Linked DNA regions of Mus musculus. The protein of the gene in region 1 purifies or fractionates together with the protein of each later gene. This does not show direct contact. Links are inferred from orthologs where the notes say so. Each region holds a gene or a part of one and is shown on either strand. Other genes may lie near its edges. The genes, in order: Btrc, Nudc, Nfkbib, Smad4, Tfap4, Elavl1 and Nuak1.

Evidence for each region.
Region 2: the proteins of Btrc (region 1) and Nudc purify together in Homo sapiens (affinity purification with mass spectrometry; 3 studies listed by BioGRID and IntAct, counting the BioPlex papers as one, with this or other methods). This does not show direct contact. The link is inferred for Mus musculus from reciprocal best matches to the Homo sapiens genes BTRC and NUDC.
Region 3: the proteins of Btrc (region 1) and Nfkbib purify together in Homo sapiens (affinity purification with western blotting; 4 studies listed by BioGRID and IntAct, with this or other methods). This does not show direct contact. The link is inferred for Mus musculus from reciprocal best matches to the Homo sapiens genes BTRC and NFKBIB.
Region 4: the proteins of Btrc (region 1) and Smad4 purify together in Homo sapiens (affinity purification with western blotting; 7 studies listed by BioGRID and IntAct, with this or other methods). This does not show direct contact. The link is inferred for Mus musculus from reciprocal best matches to the Homo sapiens genes BTRC and SMAD4.
Region 5: the proteins of Btrc (region 1) and Tfap4 purify together in Homo sapiens (affinity purification with mass spectrometry; 4 studies listed by BioGRID and IntAct, counting the BioPlex papers as one, with this or other methods). This does not show direct contact. The link is inferred for Mus musculus from reciprocal best matches to the Homo sapiens genes BTRC and TFAP4.
Region 6: the proteins of Btrc (region 1) and Elavl1 purify together in Homo sapiens (affinity purification with western blotting; 4 studies listed by BioGRID, with this or other methods). This does not show direct contact. The link is inferred for Mus musculus from reciprocal best matches to the Homo sapiens genes BTRC and ELAVL1.
Region 7: the proteins of Btrc (region 1) and Nuak1 purify together in Homo sapiens (affinity purification with mass spectrometry; 3 studies listed by BioGRID and IntAct, counting the BioPlex papers as one, with this or other methods). This does not show direct contact. The link is inferred for Mus musculus from reciprocal best matches to the Homo sapiens genes BTRC and NUAK1.

Annotation. Positions count from the first base shown.
Region 1 is NC_000085.6:45,362,455-45,366,900, forward strand, and holds the start of Btrc (F-box/WD repeat-containing protein 1A), read left to right. Parts: upstream 1-1,279; 5' UTR 1,280-1,384; coding exon 1,385-1,432; intron 1,433-1,626; exon of another isoform or gene 1,627-1,820; intron 1,821-4,446. UniProt on the Homo sapiens protein: Substrate recognition component of a SCF (SKP1-CUL1-F-box protein) E3 ubiquitin-protein ligase complex which mediates the ubiquitination and subsequent proteasomal degradation of target proteins. Recognizes and binds to phosphorylated target proteins.
Region 2 is NC_000070.6:133,543,121-133,547,819, reverse strand, and holds the start of Nudc (nuclear migration protein nudC), read left to right. Parts: upstream 1-1,792; 5' UTR 1,793-1,934; coding exon 1,935-2,015; intron 2,016-4,699. UniProt on the Homo sapiens protein: Plays a role in neurogenesis and neuronal migration. Necessary for correct formation of mitotic spindles and chromosome separation during mitosis. Necessary for cytokinesis and cell proliferation.
Region 3 is NC_000073.6:28,763,810-28,768,487, reverse strand, and holds the start of Nfkbib (NF-kappa-B inhibitor beta), read left to right. Parts: upstream 1-1,843; 5' UTR 1,844-2,065; coding exon 2,066-2,244; intron 2,245-4,678. Other genes in the region: Sirt2 (NAD-dependent protein deacetylase sirtuin-2), read right to left, coding at 810-856, 1,621-1,636. UniProt on the Homo sapiens protein: Inhibits NF-kappa-B by complexing with and trapping it in the cytoplasm.
Region 4 is NC_000084.6:73,700,785-73,705,340, reverse strand, and holds the start of Smad4 (mothers against decapentaplegic homolog 4), read left to right. Parts: upstream 1-1,549; 5' UTR 1,550-1,911; intron 1,912-4,556. UniProt on the Homo sapiens protein: In muscle physiology, plays a central role in the balance between atrophy and hypertrophy. When recruited by MSTN, promotes atrophy response via phosphorylated SMAD2/4.
Region 5 is NC_000082.6:4,546,547-4,549,754, reverse strand, and holds part of Tfap4 (transcription factor AP-4), read left to right. Parts: intron 1-283; coding exon 284-424; intron 425-2,344; coding exon 2,345-2,500; intron 2,501-3,208.
Region 6 is NC_000074.6:4,286,981-4,290,908, reverse strand, and holds part of Elavl1 (ELAV-like protein 1), read left to right. Parts: intron 1-984; coding exon 985-1,309; 3' UTR 1,310-3,928. UniProt on the Homo sapiens protein: RNA-binding protein that binds to the 3'-UTR region of mRNAs and increases their stability.
Region 7 is NC_000076.6:84,392,043-84,395,970, reverse strand, and holds part of Nuak1 (NUAK family SNF1-like kinase 1), read left to right. Parts: intron 1-1,827; coding exon 1,828-1,979; intron 1,980-3,649; coding exon 3,650-3,715; intron 3,716-3,928. UniProt on the Homo sapiens protein: Serine/threonine-protein kinase involved in various processes such as cell adhesion, regulation of cell ploidy and senescence, cell proliferation and tumor progression. Phosphorylates ATM, CASP6, LATS1, PPP1R12A and p53/TP53.

The DNA.
Region 1 (4,446 bases):
AGTGGCTGTGGGTCATCATGTGGGTGCTGGAAATTGAACCCAGGTTCATTGCAAGAGTAGCAACTGCTCTTAACCACTGAGCCCATATACCCCAGCTTTTTATGTGGGTGCTAGAAACTTGAACTCAGGTCCTTGTCCTTTCATGGGAAGCACTCTTATCTACTGAGCCATCTCCCCAGCCCCATCTTGTCCCTCTCTTTTCTTTTGTATTTTTCAAGACAGGGTTTCTCAGTGTAGACTTTGCTGTCCTGGAACTTGCTCTGTAGACAAGACTAGCCTCAAACTCACTACATCAACCTGCCTCTGCCTTTGCCTCCTAAGTGTTGGGACTAAAAGCATGTGCCACCACACCTGGCCCATTTCTGGCTTTTTTTTTTTTTTTTTGGTTTTTTGAGACAGGGTTTCTCTGTATAGCCCTGGCTGTCCTGGAACTTACTCTGTAGACCAGGCTGGCCTTGAACTCAGAAATCCTCCTGTCTCTGCCTCCCGAGTGCTGGGATTAGAGGCGTGCGCCACCATGCCCGGCTCCCATTTCTGGCTTTTTATGGCCAAAGACACTACTTATAGATTTCACTTGCTTGATAGTCATTGAATTTCATTTATGTAACACAGGACTTTGATCTCAGGGTTAGCAATGGTAGTTCATACTTTCTGAGCGCTAAACTCAAGGTTTCCTGGAGTGAGTTCTATCTGTCCCTGGCTTGCTTGGGGAGAGAAAAGGCTCTTCTGAAAAAAAAGAGGCAATAATAGCTTAGGATGTTATCGGAATCTTGCATTGATGTTGAGGCTGCTGTTACATGCACACTTGGCTCAAGTCTCTAGGTCTCAATCTTTCTGCAGATGCCAGATGTATGAACTTTAGGAGGGTCTGGTTTTCTAAAATCACAATTAGGGAGAACCAAGGACCCTGAGTTCTCTATTTTCCTAGTATTTGGAATACAGAGGAAGCGCTAGTCGCCATCTTGCTATCAAATGCCAGGCAAGGAGCCACTGGCGTCGTTTGGTAACCACGGTGACACTCCGGCTTTGCCTTCTTAGAGACTGGAAACTACAATTCCCATCAGCCGACTTCCCCTCCGGGCTCTCGAGTGCTCTACATTTGGCTTGCACACAGCCGCGACTCTACGCAGTGACCCGTGGGAGTTGCTGTTCGCCGCGTAGCCTTGCCTTTTGCCGCTGGAGCCTCCAGAACTACAAGTCCCGTGAGGCAGCGGAGTGCGCACGCGCAGAGCCGCGGTCCTCCTCGGGCCCCCTGCCAGTGCCAGGAGGTAAAAAGAGAGGGCGGGGGAAGGAAGAGGAGGCGGGATCCGGACGCTGCGTTGGCTGCGGCCTGGCACGAAAGGGGCGGCCCCGGCGGAGAGCAGACCCAGTAGTCCGGGCGATTATGGACCCGGCAGAGGCGGTGCTGCAGGAGAAAGCGCTTAAGTTTATGGTGAGGAGATGGGTGCGGGCAGGGGACTAGTGGAGGCGGCTGCGTTGGCGTGTCGCTGAGCTTAGGCCAGGGTCACCCGCTCACCGCAGGAGGGGGCAGTGGGACTGGGGGCCAAGGCCAGTGGCGAGGCGGAGGGAGGGACTGGACCTGAGCTTGGGGGAGGGTGCAGGAGGGTACAGAGGGGACCCTGGGGTGGGGGCAGCAGCTCCGCCATCTTGTGGAAGAGAGGCCAAGTGACAGCGGGAGCTCATTCGAGGTGGGGGCTCCTGGCGGCGCGCGGGGCCCCAGAGGGAAAGGGGCGTGGGGACAGTTACTGAAGAGCGGAGGAACCCGGGTGGAGAGACGCCTGTGGACGCTGGCAGGGGCCTTCCCGGTGTCAGGGTTACGGGTAAGGCCTGGGAGAGGAGGTGCACTCAGGAGTGGGGAATAGTGGAGATAGGATAATGGCAAGACAGACACTGGGGGCAGGGGGAAACTGGGCAGGGCTGGAAACTGATGGCTGTAACGGCGAAAGTGGGAAAACCATGGCTGGGAGGCAAGTATTTTTGTAGGATGGGCTGAGAAGATAGCCTTTGCCTAAGGGCTAAGGGTGGAATCCCAGTTAGCTCTACTAATGTTGGCAAACTCTGGAAGAGGCCTCATTTAAGAAGATAAGGACTCAGACCTAGGGCTATGGTGACAGTTCCTGGGAGAGAAAGACAGTGTTGATTGTGAGCTAGAATTACAAATATCAGAAAGGAGATACGTGCTCTGTTTTGAAGGAGAGGGTCAAAATTATTTGTGGTAAGGACAAAGCGATGAAAGAAATGTAGTTACAGGTGAGTGGGGACAAGGTTAATAACCAATAAGAGAAATCAAAACAAAACTTGGGCCTTCAGTGGTGAGGTAGTAAAAAGTGGGGGAAGCCAGGTGCTGTATTGCTTTCTGTGAGAAGAAAGTCCTTGGAGAAATGAGATGTGAGGAAATTTCAGAGGAAGGATGTAGGGAGTAGAGAAAGTGAGATAAGTCGGGATTGGTGGTTGCCCGTGAGTTTTAGGTTGTAGTACAGAGTGAGTATTGCATTTTTAGGGTCTGTGTCAACCCCTTAGGCCCTGTTTCTGTAACTTTGTATGGTGGTTCTCCTTTGCTGTGCTTGTCTTTGGCAACCTTGACCAGTCTGATATTTGATGCTTTTAATCTGATGCTTTCTTGTATAGCCTAGGTGTAAACCAGCCTCTAGTTACATCTAAAGAAGGATGGATGCATAGATTTTTTTTTTAAGCTTAACAGGTGGTCTTAGGGATAATGCATTATTTTCAATCAAGTCTTGTGGTTTTTTGTTTATTTGTTTGTTTGTTTTTGTTTTTTTTCAGAAGTAATTGTAACCCATCTTTCAAATAGCATTCCTTGGTTGAATAGTTTTTTTGTGCCTTTGCCTAAAATGCCATAACAAATTTGATAAACATAGATACTAACTTAGTTGAAATTAGGTTTTAAATTGTCCCATTCATATTTATAGAAGCTGGTCAAATTTAACTTTTTATTTTGGGGACTGGAGAGGCTGCTCAGCAGTTAAGACCATTGCTGCTCTTCTAGAGGATGAAGGCTTGATTCCCAGCACCCACATGGCTACTCACAGTGGTTTAACTCCAGTCCACCCTCTTCTGGACTCCCCCCCCACCCCCCCACCATGTACACAGGTGAACAGGTGATGCACAGACATACATGCAGACAAAACATCCATACACGTAAAATAAATAAATAAATAAATAAATAAATAAATAAAGTGTATTAAAAAGATAAAATTTTAGCTGGGCTGTGGTGGCTTGGGAACAACACTTGGGAAGCAGAGGCAAGACTGATTTCTGAGTTCAAGGCCAGCCTTGTCTAGAGTACCAGCTCCAGGTAGTATGAGCTCTGGGACAGCAGAACTACATAGAGAACTTCTGTCTCTAAAAGCCAAACAACAAAAACATTACTTTGTATCCGTACCTTCAGAAACACAAGTTTGTCATTCACAAAATTCTATTGAGCCAAAAGACATTTCTTGAATTTCTGTCCTGTGTTGACCTTCTAAAATATTGAGACCCCAGGTCTGGAATTGTGGCTTGTACCTTATTCTCCAGTACTTAAGAAGTGGAGTCAGGCTGGGGAAGGTGGCCTACATCTGGACTGGTAGGTGGATCTCAGTTTGAGTCTAGCTTGGTCTACATAGTGAGTTCTAGGATAGCTAAAGGCACATAGTAAGAACCTGTCTGAAAAACACAAAAAAGAAAAGGAAGAGGAGGAGAGGAGGAGGAAGAGAACAAGCAGGAGGATGGTGAGGAAGAGGCAGGAGTATTGGCCAGGTGAAAGCCAGCTTGGGCTACATACGGAATTATACCCTGTGTCAACAGACCATAAACAAACAAAAAAACCAAACAAGCTAGCTAGGTGTGGTGGTGAATGTCTGTAATCCTAGCACTGGGCGGAAGGGTCAGGAGTTAAGTCTGCCAGGGCTACTTGAGACCCTGTTTACAAACAAGCAAATGAGCAGAGACCTTGAAATCTTGGGGGAGAGGATGGGAGTAAGTCAGTACTGCTTTTATGCCCTCAGCCAGCTTCCAGTTGTAAGTCAGAAAAGTGCTCAGTTTTGTTTTCCGGTTTCGAGGGTTGGCTCTGAAGAGGAACCTGCCATTTAATTAGATTTATGGAATAATGAGACTTAGCAATCATAAAGAGACATTGTGAGATCACCCCGTACTGCTGCCTGTGATCCTTAGCCTAGGAACGTTCTGAACTCCCTCAGCTCTGCTTTGTGAGTTAGGTGTTGACAGTGCCCGACTCTGAGGTGGCTAAGTACTAGTTTGTAGTTTTGAGGGCACCACACATGAATGAAAGTTGAGTCAGTCACAGGGAGAAGCTAAGTTTTCCTTTACATTTGGCTACTTTCTCTTTTGGCCTTGCCTGCCGTTGTGGCTGCTTTTTGAGAAAAGGCCACAACTGGGAGAGTGGCCAAGAAGGACACCTCAGTAAGAGAGGTCGAGACGGAGGGT
Region 2 (4,699 bases), on another chromosome or scaffold:
CAAAGTGGTGTTTGAGGATGTAACGCCCTTGGCGCACTCGGGCCCTTCCTGAGGACAGACTGACATCATGGTTGTTGCTGTCAATCCTATTCAGGAAGAGAAAACTGAGGGAAAAGATACCTGAAGAGTGAGAGAAGGCTAGGACTAGGATTACTATAGCCCAGAGTCTGAAAGCAAGCCATTTGCTCAGAGAAGTCCAGGCCTTCTGTATTAGGGTTTCTCTTCTCTTCTCTTCTCTTCTCTTCTCTTCTCTTCTCTTCTCTTCTCTTCTCTTCTCTTCTCTTCTCTTCTCTTCTCTTCTCTTCTCTTCTCTTCTCTTCTCTTCTCTTCTCTTCTCTTCTCTTCTCTTCTCTTCTCTTCTCTTCTCTTCTCTTCTCTTCTCTCTCTTCTCTTCTCTTCTCTTCTTTTTTCTTTTCTTTTCTTTTTCTTCTCCTCCTCCTTCTTTTCTTTTTTCTTTTCTTTTTTTTTGAGACAGGGTTTCTCTGTATAGCCCTGGCTGTCCTGGAACTCACTCTGTAGACCAGGCTGGCCTCGAACTCAGAAATCCACCTGTCTCTGCCTCCCAAGTGCTGGGATTAAAGGCACCTGCCACCACTGCCTGGCTTGTACTAGGGTTTCTTTTGCTGTGATGAAATACTATGACCAAAAACAGATTGGGGAGAAAAAGGTTTATTTGGCTTACATTTCCACATATTAGTCCATCTTTGAAGAAAGTAAGAATAGAAACTCAAACAGGGTAGGAACCTGGAGGCAGGAGCTGATGCAGAGATCATAGAAGGTGTTGCTTCCTTATAGAACTCAAGACCACTAGCCCACAGATAGCCCCACCCACTGTGGGCTGACCTTCTCCATCAATCACTAATTAAGAAAACACCCTACAGGTTTGCCTACAGAAGGATCTTAAGGATGCATTTTCTCAATTGTGGCACCCTCCTCTCTGCTGACTCTAATGTCAAGTTGATATAAAATTAATCAGCACAGCTTCTAACATGGAGATGACCCAGACCAGCTCTCAGAGACCTCAATCTGATAGAAGGAACCTGCTCTTTGGGAGTGACGTTCAACCCTTAAGAGTTCCTATTCCAAGGTGTGAGATAGCCAGGCTCTCTGGAAAAGTTAATGTAATAATCTTGTAACAGTATAGCACTCTCAGGTTTACAAAGTAATAAATAAATGTACGCGCCGGCGGTGGGGAATCTTCAGGCTATACAAGCCTGCATGCAATCTCAGTGCTTGGAAGTGAAGGCAGGCAGGCCAGGAACACAAGTTTGTCTTTGCCTTGGATACACGGGGCATGTCTCAACAAAACAAAACAAGCCATCACCTCTGCCGTCAACAGCAACGACAAAACAAACAAACAAAAAAACAGAAAAACTAAGGATTTTCAGACAGTAATGAAAGAGCATTAATCCTAGTGCAAACAGTTTGTAAAACTGTTCTACTCAAACTACAGTTTTGTGCTCTTTTCTTAAACGTCTAGTAGGTTGACCCTTTGGTGAGTGCTTTCTTCCTGAGTCTTAACTGCGGCTTGTAGGAGGAGAAGGCTAACAGTATCACTTGATCAAAACTTCCAGCCCTATTAAGATGTGAGCTCAGAGCTTTCTAGAAAGCTCCCAGGTATCTGGTGACCATAGCAACTCAAGCCAAACTCTGCGGCAGCGAGCCCCGCCCACTGCCTTGGGACCGCGACTGTTGATTTGCTCCTCGGCTTAGCCAATGGCCAGAGAAGCGGGTTGTGTTCCGGGAGCTCAATGGGCACCGATGGGCGGGGAGGCGGGAAGAAAGCCGGGAAGGGCGAACCCGCACGGCCGGGCGGCTCCTGCGTGTTTCCGGCTCCGCTGCGGAAGGCTAGCGAGGGGAGCCGTTGGGCCCGCGCGAACCGTGGGGAGCGCGGGCATCGCAGAACGCGAGTGCGGAGCTCGGGGCGCAGCACGATGGGAGGGGAGCAGGAGGAGGAGCGCTTCGACGGCATGCTGCTGGCCATGGCGCAGCAGCACGAGGGCGGCGTGCAGGAGGTAAACGACGTGGCCCGCGCCGCAGCCCTTCTCCGCGGTCGGCCGAGACCTCCCCCACCCCGGCCGCGCGGGTCCCCGGGTCCCCGCGTCCCAGCTTCCGGTCTGCCCAGCCCGCGAGTGAAGTCTCGCTCCAACGCCGTCAGCGCCCTGCACTTAGCCCCCAAGAGCAGTTTTCGTTGTCCCAGAGTGACCCCAGAGCTTCCGCACCCACTCTGCGCTCCACGGGTGTTTCTGCTTTCATTTTAATGGTTACTGTGTAGAGCATCCCTAATGGTGGTTACTCTTTAGAGCATCTCTGGGCCGACTCTTCTCGATATGATCTGCATCTTACCCAAAGTGGAGCCTGCCTATCAATACTGTGTAGGGTAGTGAGAGCCCGGGGGGGCGGTTAGCACGTGGTCTCTTTATACTTGAAAGTATACTGACTGAGGAAGTGAGCCGGAGACCTGTAGGTTAAGCTCCCTCCTGGTTTATCCTCAGTTACCTCGTCTGTGAGGTGAAGCTTAGGAATATCAGTTCCTGTTGTTTTTTTTTCTTGAGTCAGGGTCTTGCTCTATATCCCTGGCTTACGCAGAACTTGCTATATAGACCAAGTGACTTCCAAATCAGGGTTATTCTTCCTCTGTCTTCAGAGTGCGGGAACTTGGATATGGGCCACCCTGCCTAGCACCTAAGTACTTGTCATTGTCGTGTACCAGACACATAATAAGACTGGGTCCTGGGGATGCAGACACGGAAGAGACTAGGCTTTGCATTTGGGGAATTTGTTGAGGGTTTCTTGCTTTAAAAAATTATTTGGAGCCGGGTGTTGCTTTAATCCCAGCACTCAGGAGCCAGAGGCAGGTGGATCTTTGAATTTGAGGCCAGCCTAGTCTACAGAATGGGTTCTAGTACAGCTTGGGCTACACGGAGAAGCCTTGTCTCAGAAAAAAAACAAAACCAAAGAAATTTATTATTATTATTATTATTATTATTATTATTAGTAGTAGTAGTAGTGTTTGTGACAGGACAGTTTTAAGGGGCCAGTTTATTCCTGCCACCAGTATCTGGGTTTTTAGGGTTGAGTTGCTAGGATTTTGAGGCAGTCAATTTTACCCAGTGATTCATCTTGCTGGTCAGGATAAGATGGTGCGTGACTGGAGTCCTAGCACTGGGGAGGAAGAGGCAGGAAAATTGCTACAAGTTAGAGGTTAGCCTGGTCTGTATAGCAACTTCTAAGCCAATCAGGGATATATAGTAAGACCCACAAATATAATAACCCCCAAATAACCCATAGGTGATGTTAAATGGCCAGACCTAGTTCACACAGTGGGTGTGTAGCAGATGAGCTGGTAGAGGTAGAAAACCCAGATATTACATTCTGTAAGCACCTGAGGGTCAGAGAGTGACAAGTTTACCCAAAGCCAGGCCCCCAAGTCCCCGAGGAGACGGGCTCCTGCCACCCGTCACTGGGGATGGCTTTCCATTCTGTCTTGGTCAGAGTGACCACTGCTGTGATGAAGCAGGAAGAGCAGCTTGATGAGAGGAAAGGCTTTATCTTACTCACAGGTTCACAGAACAGCTCATCATCAAAAGTAGTGGGGGGCCAGAGCTGGAGGCAGGAGCGGATGCAAAGGCCATAGAGGGGCATTGCTTACTGGCTTGCTCCGCCTTTCTAGAACCCAGGACCATCAGCCCAGGGATGGTACCGCCCCCAATAGGCTGGGTTCCATCCATCTCTCCTTAAGAAGCTGCTCTAGAGGCTTGCCCGCAGCCTGATCCAATGGAGGCAGTTTCTTAATTGGAGTTCCCTCCTCTCTGATGACTTTAACTTGTGTCAAGGCACATAAAACTGGTTGCCACACCTTCGAAGTCTTTTTCTCTAGGTGCCTGTGTTAACTGAGGGCTTCTAAACCCTTGAAGCGGGGGAGTCTTGTCTAATCTGCAAATGTGAACCTTGTCTGCGTGTTCCTAAACTGACACAATGTGAAAGTGTTTGGGAGTGAATCCACTTTGTTTCTGTGAACTCAAAGTGTCTAGAGGTAGGGATGGCTGTCTCAGATTCAGAACCTCTCGCTGGGGCTGGGGCAAGTGAGAGTCGTCGTGCTAACTGGGGGCCTGCGCCAGCTTGGGCTTCTCCCCAGGAGTCGACTGAGCATGGGCCTGTCATAAAACACTTGAGCCAAGACACTCTTTCAGTGCTCCCTGCTTGCTGTGGATGTGACGTGACCATCTCCCTAAGCTTTGCTTTTTTTTTTTTTGTTGTTTTTCGAGACTTGGTTTTTTTGTATAGCCCTGGCTGTCCTGGAACTCACTCTGTAGACCAGGCTGGCCTCGAACTCAGAAATCCGCCTCCTCTGCCTCCTGAGTGCTGGGATTAAAGGCGTGTGCCACCACCGCCCGGCTCCCTACGCTTTTGCTCCTTGTCTTTCCCACTGTGATGGGCCAAGCCTGAAACTATAGGTCAAAATAAACCCTTTCCCCTCTTAAGTTGCTTTTCACAGGTCTTGTGGTTTTGGTTGTTGGTTGTATTTTTTGCTTGCTTGTTTTTTTTTTTAATCCCAGCACTCAGGAGGCAGAGGCAGGTGGATTTCTGAGTTCGAGGCCAGCCTGGTCTGCAAAGTGAGTTCCAGGACAGCCCAGAATATACAGAGAAACCCTGTCTCGAAAAACCAAAAAAACAAAAACAAAAAACAAAAAACTAA
Region 3 (4,678 bases), on another chromosome or scaffold:
AAATGAAGTCATGTACATTAAAATTCAGGCAGAGTATCAATAAATGACCACGCCAGCAACCCAACTACTGAAACATCTACTATCCCTTCGTGCTCTCAGGCCTGTACCCTGCATGGAACACCACCTCCGATCTCATTTAAGAAAATCCCTTATCACTTCACTTATACGACACTGTGACTATATCTTGGTCTTGTTCCTAGATCAGCTTGTGGGTTCCACCAGGGGAGAGTTTGGCTAGAATCTTCTATAATCTCTGACCCACAGAGTTTGCCCGGTACTCCAGGGGTATGCTCTCTCCCTTCCTCCCTCCTTTTTTGAGACTGGGTCTCACCATATGGCCCAAGCTGCCTCTCCTTTCTCCATCCTCCTACCTCACTTCCCCCCTCCCCTGCCCCCCCCCATGTGCTGGCATTACAGGGGGCTGGCACCACACCCAGCTTCGATACTTTTATAACGTGCCCTATAGGGTCCTTTCCCCCACCTCATAGGATCTGAGTTTGCGGATTGAACTGGAAAACCGTCTCTTTCAGGTCCAGCACAAATGAGGTTCAGAAGGGGCTGAGGATGGGATGGGCAACAGTAGGAAACGAGGACGATATGGAAGGGAACCAGGGGTTGAGGCTATACATTTTCCTTGACAGTCCCAAGAAGCCACCATTCTCCCAGGAGATTGTACTAATCCCCAGATGGGCTTGGGGATCAGGGCCATAAGCCAAGGGCCCTTGGGTAAAAGCCTTCCCTTGCCACCTCCCCCCAGTGCGGCACGTGGAACCAAGTCTCTCCTTCCCTCCACCCCTTCCCCATCTCACCTGAGCCTCCTGCACCTTCCCTGCCTGGGTCTCCAGAGGGTCAGAGGCTGGGGAGGAGGGGAGCAGACGTGGTTACAGTGCGGGGAAAGAGTTAAGCAGAAGGGCTCACAATGGTGGAGGACAAGAGGACCCACCAACCTAATTATTTCAGAGTCAGGGATGGTAGTAAAACTATCGGAGATGGGAAAAGGCATATTTTAGAGTGGAGGTATGTGTGACGTGAAAAGGCTGAGGAGGGGAATCTTTAGGAGGAGAAAGCAGGCGAGACTGGACTGAAGGAAGGTTTCAGAGTTAAGCAGGATATGGTAGCATGTGCGAGTCGAGAGAATGAGGGAGGGCTAAGTTTTTCAAGAGACGTAAGTAGGGATACTTCTGCTGAGAGTTGAGTGTGGGAGAGGAGATGCAGTGAAGGTAGGAGGTTTAGGAGAGGCACAAGAACTGAAGGAATGAGATAGTAAGGGGCCACAGGGGTCCCCGGAACCCATCCTACAGTTGCCCTTAACAACAGACAACCTTAGCAACCGGGATAGTGGTAACTTTGGTCCTTAGCAACGAGGGTCCTCAGCAGCCAAAGTACGAGAAATGCGATCATTAAGAACTTGACAATCGGACCCTTACATTTCACAATCCAGAAACCAACCAACCTAGTAATACGGACCACTTAGCAACACCCCTCCGAATCCCACTCCCTTCAGGTAGATCCTGTCTCCCGCCCCACCGAGCCTACCCTCGGGCCCCGGGGCCTGCAGCCCAAAGCCAGGCCCCGGCGCGGCCCGACCCTCCCACCCTCCCAACAGGGCCCCTAACTCACGGTCCGGCTCGGCCATGGGAACGGGGTGGGGGCCCTCGGGACTGTCACCGACTGCTCTGTCCCGTGACGGCAGCGGAAACAAGAAGAGGCCGAGATAGGATAGAGAACTACAACTCCCGGCAGGCAATGCGATCCCCATAACCGCTTTCGTACAATGTGCCTCTCATGTTATCAAACTACAAATCCCAAAAAGCCTGGCGCCGGCGGCCATATTGATAAAGGGCGTCTGGAAAATGTGGGGAAACTCAGCGAGCGAATGTCCACCTCATTTTTCTGATTGGCTGTGGTGCAGTACAGGGGCGGGGTGTAGCTATTTAAAACATTTTGATTGGGTATATGAGGGGGCGTGTTGGGGAATTCCCGATAGGGCGGAAGCACTGGAGCTCATCGCAGAGCCCAGCGACAGGCAGGCGACCACAGGGGGCCACCCGAGGTGGCTGGGGCCATGGCCGGGGTCGCGTGCTTGGGGAAAACTGCGGATGCCGATGAATGGTGCGACAGCGGCCTGGGCTCTCTAGGTCCCGACGCAGCGGCTCCCGGAGGACCAGGTCTGGGCGCAGAGCTTGGCCCAGAGCTGTCGTGGGCGCCCTTAGTCTTTGGCTACGTCACTGAGGATGGGGACACGTGAGTAAACCTTAAATTACTAGACTGAGCCCTGGGATCTTACCTGAGTCCCCTTTAGCCTACGATTCCTGTGACTTCGTATCGTCTCGTTCCTAACTCTTGATTTCCGATGCTGGACTTCCTGGCCCTTAACCCCCAAACACTAAATTGTGAGACTGGTACGCTTTCACACAGTCAAGTGTCTCACCTTTTTTGAACTCTATAAATTTGAGCTCCTGATCCCCAAATCGGATCTGAACCTTTCCGACCACTCTAGTTCCCACATCTTCTTACCTCTTACTTCCAGATGTAGTCTTTGGTCTTTGGCTATTCTTGTATAAGCCAGATTTTGATTTCAAAACTAGTTCTTGGCCCTGAGTCTCTGAAGCTGACACGTCCAGTATTGACCCTGCAGTTAAGAAATTGAGCTGGTGGGTGTCATGGCTCTCACAGCACTTGGAAGGCAAAGGCAGGTGGATCTCTGTGAATTTGAGGCCACCTGATTGAGTTCCCTGCCAGCCAGAGCTACATAAGATGTAGAAACTCTATTCTATGAGGCTAGATTCATCTGTTAGCCAAATGCTTCTCCCAAACTACCACCTTCCAATCCCTGGTTTTAGTTTAGCTGAGTGTGATGGTACACACTTGTCATTCTGGCACTCGAGGGGCTGAGGCAGGAGGATCACTAGTCCGAGGACAGCCTGGAAGGACCCAGTATCAAAAAGGAGGGAAGAGGAAAAGGAGGAGAGGGTGACTGAAAAAAGGTTAAAGAGTAGGAAATGTTGATTAGTAGATAAGCTGGGGAGAAGGGATGGTTGTGGTGACGGCGTGCATTAAGGGATTGTACCCGGGATTTTCTTGTCCTTTGTGCTTATTGCGTATGCCCAGTGACTCAGTGCCTGACCCATGAGGGGAACCCAACAAACACTCATCTTAAAGAGCCAGGAGTAGTTGCCTTAGTTTTCACTTTCTACTTTGTTGGTTCCTGTTCCTTTATTATTTCCCTCTGGTTACTTTGGGTCTGGTTTTTGTGCTTTCTTTATCCTCCCCCTTCCTTTCTCGATTGTTTGTGTTTGACGGTCTCATGTAGCCCAGGCTAGCCTTGAGGTTACTTTGTAGCTGAGGATAGCTTTGAACATTTCATTCTCCTGCTTTCAGCTCCCAAGTGGGTATCACTACATCCCGCCTGGGGAGTGTGTGTGTGTGTGTGTGTGTGTGGACTAGAGGGCAACCTTGGGCTGCACTGAGCACGTAGGCTAGACTAGCTGGCCTGAGAGCCTCAGCGGTCATCTCTTGCTCTCTACCCTCCTCTTCCTCTTTGAGACAGGGTGGCTGGCCTGGAACTCACTATGTAAACCAAGCTGGCCTCAAACTCATCCACCTGCCTCTGCCTCCGGAGTGCTGGGATCAAAGGCGCGCACCACTGTGCTCCATTCCAGGGTTCTCCTCCCTAGTGTTGGGACTATAAATACTTACAATCACACCCAGCTTTTTCTTATGTGGGTTCTAAACTAAGGTCACTGTGCTTTACTTAGCAAAACATTTCCCAGCCTCCAACCCCACCCCCCTTTTAAGTCAGTGTCTCACTATGTAGCCCAGGCTAGCCTTGAACACTACTGTAAAAAAAAATGAATCCTTTTTTTTTTTTCTTCCGGCCACTTAATTCCCAACAATAAGGACTCTGGCATTAACTATTTATTAATAAATGCCTTGGCTACAAGCTTTGGCCCATTCCATAGCTAACACATAACTTATTTAACCCATTTAAATCATTCTATGTTTTCCTTCAGTCTCGGGCCTGCTTCTTCCTTAGCATCGTCTTTCTCGGTGTCTCTCTCAGTGACTCCTCCAGTGTCTCTCCCTGTGTCTCCTTTTATTCTCTCACTATTTCCCAGAATCCTTTCTTTTCCTGCCAGTGTCCCACCTCCTATTTCCTGCTTCAGCTCATTGGCCGTTTGCTTTTTTATTGACAGGTGTTGCCTATAAGAGATTCTGTCTACACATTATGAAATTTTTCTTTGGTTTATTTTATTTATTTTTGGTTTTTTGAGATTGGGTTTCTCTGTGTAGCCTTGGCTGTCCTGGAATTCTCTATGTAGAGCAGACTGACGTTGAACTCAGAGATATGTCTGCCCCTGCTTCCCAAATAATTTTACTTTATGTGTATAAATGTTGGATCCCCTGGAACTGGAGTTAGGGATGGCTATGAGCCACAATGTAGGTGCTGAAAATCAAACCGGGGTCTTCTGCAAGAGCAACAAGTGTTTTTTGTTTTTTTGAGACAGGGTTTTTCTGTATGGCCCTGGCTGTCCTGGAACTCACTTTGTAGACCAGGCTGGCCTCGAACTCAGAAATCCGCCTGCCTCTGCCTCCCAAGTGCTGGGATTAAAGGCGTGCGCCACCACTGCCCGGCAGCAACAAGTGTTCTTAACTGCTAAGCCATTGCTCCTACCCT
Region 4 (4,556 bases), on another chromosome or scaffold:
TAGTTTTAATATTCTTCTTTCAGGAGCATCCAAAGGGTCATGAGTTGATCTACAACCAGTTTTAATGATCTGCCAGCTGAAAGATCTTCCTTCAATCTTTAAAGTTGTATCCTTTGAGAGTGTCATACATGTATCTATACATTGTATATAGATCTTATCCACTCCAGGCTTTCTTACAACAGCTCCTGGACTCCCCCACTGGAATATCCTTTTCCTAACTTCATATCTCTCTCTCTCTCTCTTTTTATATATAACTCAATTTGTACTGCACCTATCAATTTTGATGACAATGAAGAATTGGATTTGTGAAGGAAATTCTACTATCGATTCATTTAAGTGATTTATTTTCTCATTGCAGACATCAACTTTTGAATTGTCCCTTTGGCTTACCCTGGGGGGGCAGTGTTACACATTGGTGTGTGTTGTAAAGTTTCTCCAACAGACTTAAGAAATGACTTGGTCTAACAGCTGTACTAGAAGGAACCCCGAGGGAAGGTGAAAAAGGAAACAAAAAGACAACATATAATTCATGTTTCCTAGACGTCTGAATAAATTTAAAGTTAGGGTCTGTCTATTTAGTCCTGGTTTGAAATTTGCCACGTAAATCCACCAGGCTGGAGCTCCTTCTGTCTCTGCTTCCCAAGGGCTAAGATTTACATGCATGGGCTGTGATTTAAAGCCAGGGACTATACGGCAGGCTTGTGTTCTAGCTACTAAGTACAATATTCATAAAATTATACAAGAAAGTAAGTACAAAGTCAAAATCAAAGACGGGCCTTTTGCCACCAAATGCACCACTTTTGTGGTGGGATGGACCCAGGGCTTTGTATATGGACAACAAATTTTGAACTGTCCCTTTACGTTGCCCTGAAAGTTTTAGATAGCGGACCACTTAAGTAATGAGAGGTAGTTTTGACTTGTTTTGTAAGGTGTGAAGTTCTGAAACTGAGCTTTCTTTACATCCCAGCCTGCACAACCTATTTAGCAGGTGTACACTTAAGCAAGTCTTGAAGGTCGCCTCCAACTCGAAATTCCCGCCTCTTTCCCAACTGCTCACGTTTGGCCACCTCGGGCTAGGCCCTGGAATGTGACTCCTTGACTGTCGCGCGCGCCTCCGAGCTCAACCTTTTGGAGCCGGTGTGATGAAAGGGACAGAGTGAGAGATCCGCTCGGAAGTAAACTGCTACAAACACCCGCACTCGGTCCAGCTGTGTCCACCAAGGTCTTCAAAAGCCAACCCAACCCGGCGGGCCTGCCCATCGCTCATCCCGAGCTGTCCCACGCTGCTTGGGTACTCTGTGAACCGCACTCCGTGTCTGAAGAGGGCATCCTGCGAAAAGGCGACTCCCCTCCGGCGCCGTTGCTCGCTCGCTGCTCAAACTCAGCCAGAGCCGCCGGGCTGCCCGCGGGCGCCTGCGCACTGGGACCCTCCCTGCTCTGGGCGGGAGGCGGGGGCAGCGGGGAGAAAGGAGCGCTGCGGGAGGGGAGCGGGGGAGGGAAGGGCCAAACCCTGAAATTACCCGGATGTGGTCTCCGCGCGCGCATGCTCAGTGTCCTTCCGACAAGTTGGCAGCAACAACACGGCCCTGGTCGTCGTCGCCGCTGCGGTAACGGAGCGGCTCGGGTGGCGGAGCCCGTGTTCGCGTCCGTCCGCCCGCCCGCCCGCCGTCCTCCGGAGGCCCTTCCCGCGCCGCGCTCCGCTCCGCGGCCGTCCCCGGGGCGGGAGCGCGTGACCGGAGCCGGCGCCCGCGAGCGAGGCCCCCCGCAGCGGGGCGGCTCCGGAGCTCCAGCGGCCCGGCCGGCCGGCGCGGTCCGCGGCGCGGCGGGGAGAGGGGGCCGCCTGGGCCGGACGCCGCGGGCGGGGCCCGGGAAGCGACAGCGAGGCGAGGCGCGGTGCGGCGCGGAGCCCAGGTAACGCGCGGTCCTCCCCTAACCGGGGCCTCGGCGCCCGCGCTTCCCCGCCCCGGGGCGGGCTCCCGCGGCGACCGGCGCGAGCGTGGGCCCAGCGGGGCTCGGGTGGGTCGCCCCCGCGCGTCCGGGGCTTCGCGTGCCCGCGCGTGGCTCCCGGGCCCCAACTCCTCTCGCAGTTAGGCGAGCCCGCCGTCCCGGGAACTCGGTCGCCGGTCCCCGTCCGTGCCGCCGCTCTTTGTTGTTCGGGAGGAGTTTGGCCGCGGCCCGGGCCGTCGCGTCGGCCCGGCCCGAGTGCGTTATGCCCGGGGTGCCCCGGGTCGGGTCCTCGTGCCTTCCCCACCTCCCCCACCCCCCAGCAAGTGTTTGTTTTCTCTTTGTCCCCACTTTCTCTTCCTGGTTGTGTGCTCTGAGTTTACGTTTGTAGCTTTGATTTGTTTACTTTTTGGGTATTGTGGGTGATGGCGGCGTGCGGGAGACACTCTTAGCGCCAAACTGAACCACCCTCCCCTAATAAAACGTGTCTCCTAATAAAAGGCGTAGTTTATTTTATTGTTAGGGCTACATGCACGGAGCGTGAAATTGGTGGAGGGTGGAGGGCGTTGGCTTCAGCACCCCAAACTGCTGTTATGATTTCTCAAGCCAGATTTTCAAAGACAAGGGCGTGTTTAGTTAACTTGAAAGGTTCCTTTGCCAGAGGTTTTAAAAAGCCCTGTTTATTGATAGCTCCTCCCCACTGCCCCACCCCACAAAACCTGGAGTAAACTTAATTTTTAAAGTTGGTTTTCAGGTAATTCATTTTAGAATTTATCAGTGCCTTCAGTTTCTGATAACTTAAGGTGGGATTGTCACTTACTTAGAAATAAAGTAACGAGATAAAGAGGGAGTTATTTTAAGTACCTTGAATTCGTGTTCTGCAGGCTTGTAATCTCGCTTAATTTTTTAACAATCGTTGAATTTTGCCAGATTTAGCATCCTTTTCCTCTCAGTAGTAGCTTGAGACTTTGAACGTTTTAAGAATCAGGTTCAGGACTTTCTGCTGACACAAACCGTGTGGAATCTTAACTGAATGTACAGAAATCTATTATAAATTCCACAAAGCAATTAGATTTCAAGCACCGCATTTGAATAGTTTTTGTTACAGATTTTACAGGTTTACCTTGCATTCAGGATATGAAGCGCTTGCAGTTGAAATGTATGTAGCATAGGCTATTCAGAGAAGTAAACTTCTCCCTACTGTAGACTCTATCTCTTGGATCTATCTGGTAGGATTAGTACGTGTTATTTCAGAGTGTAAATGATTGCTTTAATATTTCTTAAAATACAGTTTCTCCCTAATGCTTTGTTCAGTGTACTGTCATGAGTCTCTAGGGCTTCCTGCTCCTCTCTTCAACTCCTGACCATCCGTGTCTCTCAGCTTCTCCGGAGCTGGGATACAAAATTGCGACACGGTGCTCATAGGCTCAGGAGTGTGTTTTCTTCAGTGACCTGGTTACAAACATGCACCGAGGCAGACTAATACCCATAGCCTGAAGCAGCTTCTGATGTGATGAATTATGTAGGCTTCAATTGCCGGAATTAAAACAAATCCTTTCCAAAGAGAATTGACATAAAGGTTTTTAGTTTTTTGTCACTGTCTTAAGACAGGTGGCTTTTTTTTTTTTTTTTTTTTTTTTGCTTTCTAGGCTTTTGAGTGAGTATGCATTAAAGGGGTATTACATATTTTTGTTTTTGAAGATGTAGTTGACACTTTTGGACTAAATGCTTCCACTGTAAATCTTAAGTTGGGAAGAATTAAAATTGTGTTTACAGAATTAAGGAAAATTTGTGCTAAACAAGTCAGTGCAGTGATTTGGCGTGTGTTTTATATGGACCTGAACTTCCCTGATGGTTTTGCTCTTGAAATAGTTCTGATTATATGAGTTGTACAGATCTTGCTCTTTCTTTAAGGTCATTTTCATGTATGCTACATGTTAATTCAAGTGTTTCTGTTGGTGAGTTTTGTCTCTGGATTCTCTGCTTCACACACACGGGGGAGGGGCCGTATTAATGGTGGAATAGTAAAATACTTTATGCAGGATCCCCCCCCCCCCCCCCCCCCGTTAGAACCTGTTTTTTTATTTTTCTAACTGAGCCAGAGTTATAGTAACATTGGCACACACTATTCTAATTGAGCTGTGCATAGCTGGGGCCTGTACCAGGGCAGTTAACCCTGCAGAGTCTGCAGAGTTGGTTAAATCTAAAGTGCATATTTGGGCTTCTTTAAAATTTGATCTCTAGATGAGAGCACAATCCTTTTTTTTTTCTTTTTTGTTTTTGATGAAATATTACCTACTTCAGTTCTATTTTGTCCCCCATCTAGTTGATGCCTAGGTTTTTGTTTTTCTTTTCATTTTTGATTCACCCAGAATGAGTGTCTCTTTATAAGCATCTTGTAATAGCTTTCTCAGTGCTTCCTTGTGGTTGGATACCCCGGCCCTCCACTGTGCTGGGTTAAAGCCGTGAGGAGGACTGACTCAGGTGGTCCTCAGTCAGGTATACAGCTAACCCGACTAAAGGCTGTCATTGTTTCTGTGCTAAGTGGAAGCTGAAGTTAGAGCGGATGTCACATTTAGTACCGCTTTCTCAGATTACTTAGTTCTTTCCCC
Region 5 (3,208 bases), on another chromosome or scaffold:
TGTGGCACCAGGAAGGGTTTGACCTGGTTCCCCAGGTTGTTCTTCATGGCTTCTATAAGGAAACCAGCTAGTCAGTCAGAAGGGAAAGGGTTTTTTGTTTTTTTGTATTGGAAACAGTAGAGACAAAAGTTTAGAGGTGAGAAGGGGAGAGCCTTCCGTCTGCCCTGGAGGGGGCGCTCTCTGTCAGGGTTTTCGGTTTAGGATTGCCCTGTGGTGTTAGCGCCACTGGTGGAGCAGGTGTGGCCTTGCCCCACCTCTCAGCGCTGTGCTATCCCACCTGCAGGTGCGCTCCCTCGAGGCCCACATGTACCCGGAAAAACTCAAGGTGATTGCCCAGCAGGTGCAGCTGCAGCAGCAGCAGGAGCAGGTGCGGCTGCTGCACCAGGAGAAGCTAGAGCGGGAACAGCAGCACCTACGGACCCAGGTGAGCGGGGACTCCAGGAGGCAGGGGGGGCCCTCGAGGGCCGTCGCGGGGTTCTCAGAATCTGTAGGTGGGTCTCAGACTATGTAGGTACAAATAGCTGTGCAGGCATGCTGCGTTTTAGCTGTCTGAGAGCATTGGGACATAGGCCACAATCCTCACGGCAGTCCTTTGAAGCCTGAGCTGCTTACTGTTTTATTGCTGTGGAAAATAAGGTAGAGAAAGGTGAAGTAATTCTCTGGAGCAGGAATTTGAACCCTCTCTGCCTTAATCCAGGATCTATGCTCCCCTCCTCCTCCTCCTATTCATCTTCCTCTTCTTTTTTTTTTTTTCAACTTCCTCTTCTTCTTTCTTCTCTTCTTCTTTTTTGTTTTTCTTTTTGGTGGTGCTGACTGAGCCCAGGGCATGTCTGGCAAGCATTCTGCCACTGAGTACATCCCAGGCTCACACATTCTGCCACTGAGTACATCCCAGGCTCACACATTCTAACACTGAGTACATCCCAGGCTCACACATTCTAACACTGAGTACATCCCAGGCTCATACTCTGCACTATTTTCTGTTTTTTGTTTTGTTTTGTTTTTTTTGTTTTTGTTATTGTTGTTTGTTTGTTTTTTGTTTTTGAGTCAGATCTCACTATTTAGACCAGTCTACTACCCTTGAACTCACAGAGCTCTGTCAGCTGCCTCCAGAGTGCTGGGGTTAACGGTGTGTGCCACCATCATGCCCAGCCAGAGTCTCTACTCTTGAACAGTCATTTATCAGGTCTTAATGTGCTTCTTGAGCCACAAGCAAAAGGGCCAGAGGATTGGGGGGTGGGGGTGGTATGGAAGCCGCTCACTGCCCTTCCCTTCATTCCTAGTGTTGGAGGGGTTGGTGGGGTTGTGACTCGCTTGGTTCTTTCTACTTGTCAGCGTTTTATAAGTGTAACAAGCACCTGAAGCAGCCAGGTTATAAAGAGAGAAGGGGAATTTGGCTCAAATTTCAAAGACTTCAGATTGTGCATGATTGGTGAAGTGATAGATCATGGCAGGAACAAAATTACTCACTTCATGACTTAGAAACTAAAGAGAGAAAAAGACAAAAGCTGGGTTCTTACTGATCTCTTGGAAAATGTGCCAGCCCACTGACCTAAAGGACTTCTACCTGGCCCCATTATTATAATTACAATAATAATCATTATTATTGGTTTTCTTTTTTGAGTCAGGGTTTTTTTTTTGTTGTTGTTGTTTTTTGTATTTTCGAGACAGGGTTTCTCTGTGTAGCCCTGGCTGCCCTGGAACTCACTTTGTAGACCAGGCTGGCCTCGAACTCAGAAATCCAGCTGCCTCTGCCTCCCAAGTGCTGGGATTAAAGGCATGTGCCACCATGACCGGCTTTTTATAAATGTGTCTTTTTTTTTTTTGTATTTTTTTTGTCTTAAGAGAGGGCCTTGTGGGCTGGAAAGATGACTCAGCGGTTAAGAGCACTGACTACTCTTCCAGGGGTCCTGAGTTCAATTTTCAGCAACCACATGATGGCTCACGACCATCTGTAATAGGAATCCGATGCCCTTTTTTGGTGTGCCTGAAGACAGAGTGTGCTCACATTCATTAAATAAATAAATAAATAAATATATAAATAAATCTACTTTTTAAACAAAGGGTACACAGAGACATACAAGCAGCACACATACCCACGAGGGCCTTGCCATGTATCCCATGTGGGCCTTGAGCTTGTCTTCCTCCTGTCCAACCTTCTGACAGCCATGATGAGAGCTATGTACCACTAGCCTCAGCACAGGTTTCTGTCTTCTAATACTGCCATACTGGAGACCAAGCCTTTGTTACATGGACTTGGGGGTGGGCATTTAAGATCTAAGCCAGCAGATACCCTGTGAGTAAGGAAATTTGGTGGGCTAGAAACAGGACTTCTGTTTTGCAGCTCCTGCCTCCTCCAGCCCCCACCCACCACCCCACAGTGATCGTGCCTGCACCAGCCCCGCCTTCCTCCCACCACATCAATGTTGTCACCATGGGTCCCTCCTCAGTCATCAACTCTGTCTCTACATCCCGGCAAAATCTGGACACCATTGTGCAGGTGTGTGGGCTCGGGGAAGGGGCTTGTGGGAACTGACTCTTGAGGACATGTTCTTTCTTGGAGATCAGGAAGTAGGATGTGGATCAAGAGCAAGATGGAGCTCCTGTAGGAGGAGGAAAGATCTGGACGACTGGATAGGTCCTCTTCCTTGTGCCTGACTCCTTTCTTAACATGACTCTGTGTGTGTGCGCGCGCGTGCACGTGTGCATGTTTGCATGTGTTCCTGCCTGTCTATCTGAACTGCTTGCCGAACGAGTTCTCTACCATGTTGGACTGCAAGGGGTCAGAAGCTTATAAACTCAGGTTTATAAGGCCTGGTGGCAAGTGCCTTCACCCACTGAACCATGTTGCTGGTCCTGGGAAGTTTTGTTCTCAGAGCCTCCTGGTGATCAGTCTTAGTTCAGCCTGTGAGCTGGTCCTGAACTTTCTCTTACCTTCATGTGATATGTGCAAGGGTGTGTGCATGTTACCTTCATGTGATATGTGCAAGGGTGTGTGCATGTTACCTTCATGTGATATGTGCAAGGGTGTGTGCATGTTACCTTCATGTGATATGTGCAAGGGTGTGTGCATGTTACCTTCATGTGAGGATATGTGCAAGGGTGTGTGCATGTTACCTTCATGTGATATGTGCAAGGGTGTGTGCATGTTACCTTCATGTGATATGTGCAAGGGTGTGTGCATGTTACCTTCATGTGATATGTGCAA
Region 6 (3,928 bases), on another chromosome or scaffold:
AATAGAGCATCTGGAGGAAAAACAGGGAGGAAGGGGGGGGGGGGTGAACATCACTGTGGGAAAAACTCCTGTGTTGGTTAAGTTGCTAGCTTAGTTGAGTCCTCTAGCCTTGTTCTCTCTCCTGAGTTTATAGGCTTCAGTAGCTTGACCTGGCCCTTGCGAGATGGTTTTAGCCAGCTCAGAGGTAGGGATAAGGAATTTTTGTGCTCTGTAGTAACGTTGTGCAGCATAGTATACAGTTACTACAGGGCTTTGACCCCTCAGGGAGAAGTATCACAATGAATAGCTAGAGCAGTAGGGGTGTGGCTTTAATTCCAGCACTCAGGAGGTAGAGGCAGATCTCCGAGTTCAATGCCAGCGTGGTCCAGAGAGATAGAGTTATATAACAGCTAGAGCTAGGCAGAGAAAGAAACCTTATTTCAAAAAAAAAAGAAGAAAAAGGAAAGAAAGAGAAGGGACTAAATTTGGGGGGAAGCTCCCTCTTTCCCCAACATGGATTCATGTATACACATGCTCACACACAAAATGTGATGAGTTTCCTTCAAGGAGAGGGACCATGAGACTCCTTCAGAGTGCTTTCACCTGCACTGAAGCATGTGGAAGAAACTTCCAGAATTTAAAATGTGAGCTTGTGGTTCAGTACCAATCCTCAGTTTCTTTCCCAGCCTCACAATTTGGGAAGTAGACAAGGTCTGAGGGAAGGTGGGACAAGAGGATAATAAAGGTGAAAATTACCAAAGTATATGCATTATGAAGATGTTAAAATAAACATTATTCTCTTACACAGCTAATATATGTCAGTTTCTTTAAATTAGTTGACCCCATGGTATCCCAGCCTTGAGCATCTCCAGCTCAGAGGTGCTGGCTGCATGAGAGGCCCAAGTGTCCTTACATCTTGGCCCTCTCCATCCTACTTCTTACCCCATTGTGCAGGTACACTGCTGGCCTTAACCTTGACCTGAACATGTGCTCTCTGTTTGCTAGGTTCTCCCCTATGGGTGTAGATCACATGAGTGGGATTTCTGGTGTCAATGTCCCCGGCAATGCTTCCTCGGGCTGGTGCATCTTCATCTACAACCTTGGGCAAGACGCCGATGAGGGGATCCTCTGGCAGATGTTTGGCCCCTTTGGTGCAGTTACCAATGTGAAAGTGATTCGTGATTTCAACACCAACAAGTGCAAAGGGTTTGGTTTTGTGACCATGACAAACTATGAAGAAGCTGCAATGGCCATAGCAAGTCTGAACGGCTACCGCCTGGGGGACAAAATTTTACAGGTTTCCTTCAAAACCAACAAGTCCCACAAATAACTCGCTCATGCTTTTTTTTTCTTTCCTTCTTTTTTTTTTCCTTTTCTTTTTTCTTTTTTTGTACGGAATAGATAATTAAGAGTGAAGAAGTTGAAACTTTTTTGTTAGTGTACAACTCATTTTGCGCCAATTTTCACAAGTGTTTGTCTTAGTCTAAATGAGAAGTGCAAAGGTTTTTATACTCTGGGATGCAACCGACATGTTCAAATGCTTGAAATCCCACAAATGTTAGACCAATTTTAAGTTTCTTAAGTTATTTCCTTTAAAGTATATATTAAAGTGAAACCGAAGTAGACTGCGCTGACTAACCAGTCACTCTGGACGGTGGTGGGACTGAAGCATGCTTTTACTTCTAAGACTGTCTAACACCTGTTTCATCTGATGTCTCCACAGACTGGATTTAAAACAAAACAAAAAAAATTTTTTTTTAATTTCTTTGTTTTAGTTTTTAACCTAAAGATGTTAGACAGATGGGGAGTGTGTTTTTTCTCAACTGCTTCACTATTTTAAACAATTTCTGCTTTAGGTGACAGGAAATTTGCCCTCCCCAGCAGTCCCACTGCTGCCCCCTGCCCACTCAGTCCCAGCTCTATAGTGTTGGGAGCAGCAGCAGGGCCCATATTCTGGGGCTCCCACAAGGGGAGATGGGAAGAGGTTCCACATGTTGGGCTGAGCCAGGCCCTCCAGAGACACAAAAGGTGTTTTGTAAGCCCAGGCACCAATGAGAACGGACCAAAGAGTTTCAGGGCAGCTCCAGTATATTCCAGAGTCAAACCTGAGCTCCAGGCATGCCTGAAGATGCCCCACTCCTCTGACATCCTGAGCGTCTGTCCACACATTGCATGCATGGTGCCCACACATCAGATACTGTTGTTCATGCAACTTCCCGAGTTTCCAAGACCATTTAACCTAGCTTGAATGCACAACGATTGCTCTGTTTTTAATGACACAGAAACATTTGAGCATTGTATTTTCTCGCATCCCTTCTTGTGAGCACTAGACTTTTTCCAATCTTAGTCAGATTTTGCTTTGAAATTTTGCTTTTGTATGGACACTCAGCAGAAAAGTACTTCTTGCCAGTTATCTATTAACAAAATCCTTTGATTTGTAGTTTTAAGGATTAACCCTCAAAGTTCTCTTCATAACTGCCTTGACGTTTGGGGTTCTGTTCTGTTAATTTTCTTTTGCTTTTTTGTGTTTTTTGTTTGTTTTTACTTTTGCATTTAAGACCATTAAATTTGATTTTGTTTTGCTCGAGTTTTGTTTTGTTTTTTGTTTTACCTTTTCTTTCTTTTTTGGCTAGGGAAGGGCACAGACAGCCCAGCATTCAGGGAGGAGTCTGTCAGACCTTAAACACTTGCCTCAAGTTTAAAAAACATTTCTGGAGCTATGGTATAAGAAATACAGCTATGGATCAATGGTTCTTAACTCAGGAGCTGGTAGGAAAGGTCAAAGGGAAGGGAAGAGCACATGAGGCCTGACCCCTACAGCCCTCAGGACTGTTCTGATGTTTATTAGTATGTGGAGAGAATGAGAACAGGCTAGTGCAGTTACTGGCAGCTCTTCACTTTGATGTAAGCCTGGAGTGTATAACAGCAGGCTAGTATTTAGTTCTTGATATCATGGTATGATAGCATTATTTACACATATCTGTTTAGTTATATATACATATATATATACATATAGCTATTTTGTTTCATTTACTTAAGTGGAAAACTGAGCAAAAAGCACAGCCATCTCTAAAGTAGGTCAGTGTATCAAGAAGCCCATGTACAAATTGAGGCTGCCTGTTCCCTCCCCCGCCTCCTTTTCCTGACTTCCCTGGAGGCTCGTTGCAGTGTTCTCTACCATTGGTGAGGTTGTCTCATGTACTCAGGCTTTGTCCCACCCTAAGTGAGTCAAGTGCTGCTCAGTACCTCATTCCATCCCATAATTCCCAGCCTATAGGGCCTGAAACCCAGAACCAAAGGCTCATATGCCCAGATCTGACCAAAAAAGGAGAGGGGTCCTCTGCTTTGAGGGTGCAGAGTGCACCTCCCCGTGGGACCAAAATGTTGTGATAAAATACGCATTTCTAGTTTCTTAGCCAGCATTCTTCTGAGTGGAGGTGGGATTCTCCTCAGTCGTGTAGCCTTTGTATTCCACACCTGAAAGAGACTGTGTCTTTAAAGGACCTGGTGCTCAGAGCTAGCACCTTAATCACTATACCATCCCTACCACCCAACACCTGTTTACTCCATAGTAACTCTGAGAGGAACTGGGGGAAATGTCACCAGCTTCTGGAGGTCACTTCAAGTTCGACATTTTCTTTCTGTGTGGTCTCCACTGTCTGGGTAGCACTCTAGATAAAAGTCCCAGTGCATTCCTTGATGAGCTTTCTTTGTCAGTGTCTAGAAGAAAGTAGCTTTGAAAAGGCATTCCTGAAAGCAGTTTTCATTCTATGAAAGGACTAGGTCCTGGCCCTGGACGCGTTCATGACAGCTAGTCAGGCTGGGCAGAAATACAGAACCCAGACGTGTGTGTAGCTCAGAGATTAAAGCACTTGCCCAGCATGAGGGCAGCCCTGAGCTCTGTCCCCAGCATTGGAGGAAAAGTCACAACCCAAGAGAAAGGGGTTTT
Region 7 (3,928 bases), on another chromosome or scaffold:
TACAGTTGAAAAGGGAGGAGCCAGCTTCTGAAGGTCCTGTCTGCGGGGAGGTGTGCACCCGATATTCAGATGAGTCTCAATCACTCCGGTGTCAGGGATGTGAGAGGCTTTGTTTATTTGTGCGTGTGCATGTGTGTGCATGCGCACGTGTGTCAACGCACGTTTTTCTTCCTTCTTCCTACCTTAAAAAACCAAAACAACAACAACCTAGGATGTAAACTGCTTCCCGAGGGCATGTGTATCGCTCACGTTTGCAGCCTGTGCCGTATGTCCCAAGGCCACCCTCCTACTTCCTAGAGTTTAGAGTTAATGAAAAGTCCAATCCAGGATGAAATCCTGGTAGGAGCCCAGGAGGTTGGGTACAGAGAGGCCAGCAGACTCCCAAGAAGTCAGCCAGTTTTATCTGGCTGCCCCCTTTCCCTCCCTCTACCTTCCTACTGCCGCCTTGCCTTCCTCTTCATTTTATCAGAGAGAGTTGGCTGGACTGGCAGGAGCCAAAGAGGAACTGGTGGGGAGGGTGACCCTCTAGAGGCCAGAGACAAGGTGTGGGAGGGGAGGGAGCCCAGGCCGTAGGCAGGCAGATTCCAGTTCACCTCAGTTGCTCATTGAATGGGCGTGTTTGTCTCAGTGCCAGGCCTTGGGGGGGTCCAATAATATTAAGATAAACAATAACAACCAAGGTTCTGGAAGGCTGTGCGTTCAGGCTTCGTTCTGAGCATCTACCATCCTGTTATCCCTCCGGTCTCCCAACAGTCCTAAGAAATGCTTTCTAAGTTCATTCCCATTTTGCATTTGATGTAACAGAAACACAGAGAAGGCAAGCAACTTCCAGGAGTCACACAGCCAGCAAAGTCAGGATGTTAGTAGGTTTTAGCTCTCCCAGCTCAAGCTCCGCAACCAGGCGGAGGAAAATAGATATGTAACCAGGAAATAAGGTACGATGAGGCCAGGGTAGGCCAGGGATGTAAGGGGCTGATGACGGCATGTGATGTGCAGATAAGTCTGAACGAAGGCTCTGTTGATGAACGCCTGGCCAGGATAGGTAGGGGTGAGGCAGTGGGAGAGCAGGGAGGTGGAGGCAGTACCGTGTGTGTAAATGTGAGAAACGTGAATGACTGACAGCTCTTTCTGTATTGTTGGACATTGAAGTGGGCAGGAACGGTCAGACTTGATAAGGTAGAGGTTGGCAGAAGGAGGGGTCTAGGGTTCCCTCTGCATCTCTAGGAAGGATGTACTTCCAGACAGTTAAAGGCGTCTTACATGACAGCTGGTGGACTGTGGCTGAAGTGGACCGAGTAACTAGAATCTCTCTTCCTTGCCTTTTCTCCTCGCCCCCTGTGTTGCCCTTGGGTGTCTGTGTGGGACTGCAATTTAAACCTAACAGCTGGGGAACAGTTGGTGAGAGGGCCTTGACAAACATTATGGATAAAAGATACCCATGGTAGGTGGAGGTCGGCTGAGAAGGGACTGGACTGCAGGCAGGGGCACCCAGCTCCAGAGGGCTGCAGGGGTCCTGACTCCATTCCAGGTTTGGCTCTGGGGCTCCCTGGTCATGTCTGAAACCAGACTAAGTTGGTTCTGGTCAGCTGTTTAGGAGACTTCCTCCTTGTGTGGACCTCAACTGTACAAGATGGGTGTAGGGACAGAATGAAGCCACCATTGCCCCAAGCCCCCCTGATATTGAATGCACAGATTCTCAACCTGTTCCCTGAGCCCCATCCGGCTCAGTGGCATCTCCATGGTCTTCCTTGCTCTTTCTCTGCAGTTGGTTGTCATCGGGCTTTCTGGATAACAGTGTTTGTTTATTTCTCTTCCTGCCCCCCACAGTGTTTGAGAACAAAGATAAGATTGTGATCATCATGGAATATGCCAGCAAAGGAGAGCTGTATGATTACATCAGTGAGCGCAGGCGCCTCAGCGAGAGGGAGACCAGACACTTCTTCCGGCAGATTGTGTCTGCCGTGCATTACTGTCACAAGGTACGACCGGGCCTGCAACTTCGCGCGTAGACTCATTATAGCTTTAATATTATAAAAGCCTTGGTTAGTTCATTGTGACATGTGTGGAGATGTTACAGACTAGGATGAGAAAAAAAAATCTCCCTATTCAAATCCCATGCTTGTGTGTGTGTGTATGTGTGTGTGTGTGTGTGTGTATGTGTGTGTGTGTGTGTACACGTGAGGCCTAAGGTCATTGTCAGGTATCCCCCGTCACTTCCCACCTTGTCTTAGAGACAGGATCTCTCACTGAATCTGGAGCTTGCCAGTTCCACGGGGCTGGCTTGCCAGTGAGCCCTCAGGTGCTGCCTGTCTCTGTAGATCAGGGGTAGGGTGATGGACATGTGCACCCACAACCTTTGGTTGGCCTCTCTGTGGACACGAGAGACACTCATGATCAGACCACGCAGCCTTCTGTGACTCCGCCTTAAGTAATGCTGGAGAGCACCGCAGACTACTTCCGTTGTTTGAAGTGTGTGAATTTGTGGGTTGTGTATGAATGGGATGTTCTTAGGCTTGTTCCATCTTCTTATGTCAGTCAGGAATGTGACCATGTGAAACAAACGTCTCGCAGTATTTCATTTAAAGCCAAACAGAGTCGGCTTTCCTGTACTCCACATCTCTCCTCTGGGAGATGTGTTTTTTTTTTTTGGGGGGGGGCATTTCGGAATCTCCGGACACCTCCTGAGAGCTTGGATTAGCAAAAGCAGTAGTATGAATACTTGTCATCTCTCTCCAAGTTGGTGGCTGTGGAGACATTAGAAGCTGTCAAACGGAAAGGAAAACAAACTGAAAGAACCAGCTACAGGCATGTTTGATATAGCAGCTTTCTCCGCAGAAGCCATTTACACAGCGGGGAATGCTGGGAACCTACTCCCCCCACATCCACATCCAACATGGTCCCCAAGCACTCTTTCTGTCCACCCACCCCAGAACCTTCTCCGCAGCCCATTGGTGTCCTTTCCCTTCAGCTGGCTTGCTGCTTTCAAGTCCAGTCCCAAATTGGCCAGAGTTTGCCTGAATGAAAAGGTCACGCGACATAAGAGTTCCTAGTGGCTCTGGTCTCATTGGCCTGCACCCTTTTCATCAGCCCTGAGTCCTGCAGAGTGGAGAGGGACTTTCAAGTCTTTCCAGCTGGCTGCTTAGGGAGTATCTAAGACAAAGCTTTAGGAGACTGGGTCAGGCCTCTTTCCAGCATGAGGGATGCAGGCAGACAGGCAGGCAGGCAGGCAGGCAGGCTGTCCCTGGGGCCCTGTGCTCCAAGGCACCCACTGAGATGTCTGCTGTGTCCCTGGGACCCTGTCTCAGACACAGTGGAATTACATTCCCACAAAGAATCCCCCTGCTGGTTTACAGGCTCTGGGGGGGGAGAATGGATTCCAGTCATTTTTCTGTTAACCACACAGAAAGTGACTAATGCTCTCCTGTCGCTGGTTGCTGTCTGGGGAGCGTCCTGACAGTGAGAGCAGGCCTGAAGGATGGAGGTGAAGACCACCGGGACTGGCTGGTGCATTGCTTTCATCTGTCAGACTTGTTCCCTGTGCCCGGCCTCCGCTGCCCCCTCCCCAGAGCTCTCTTGTCTGTCATCTCACACGCTCCTGCTCTGGCTCCTGCTCCTGCTCCTGCTCAGTTCTTCCGTTTCCTCGTTGCAGAATGGTGTGGTCCACCGGGACTTGAAGCTGGAGAACATACTGCTTGATGACAACTGCAACATTAAGGTAAAACTCAGCCGGGGTGTGGGTATGGCGGGTGGGCGTGGCTCCTCATAGCCCGGATCTGACACAGCCGCTCCCTCTGCTGGTTGGTGGGCTCTGGGAAAGACTCTCATCAATAGGCTTATCCAAACAGTTTAATTTAGCAGGCATTACTGAGTCCCCTACAACCTGCCAGACTCTCTTCTCCCTGCTGGGACAATGACTGACACACAGTCC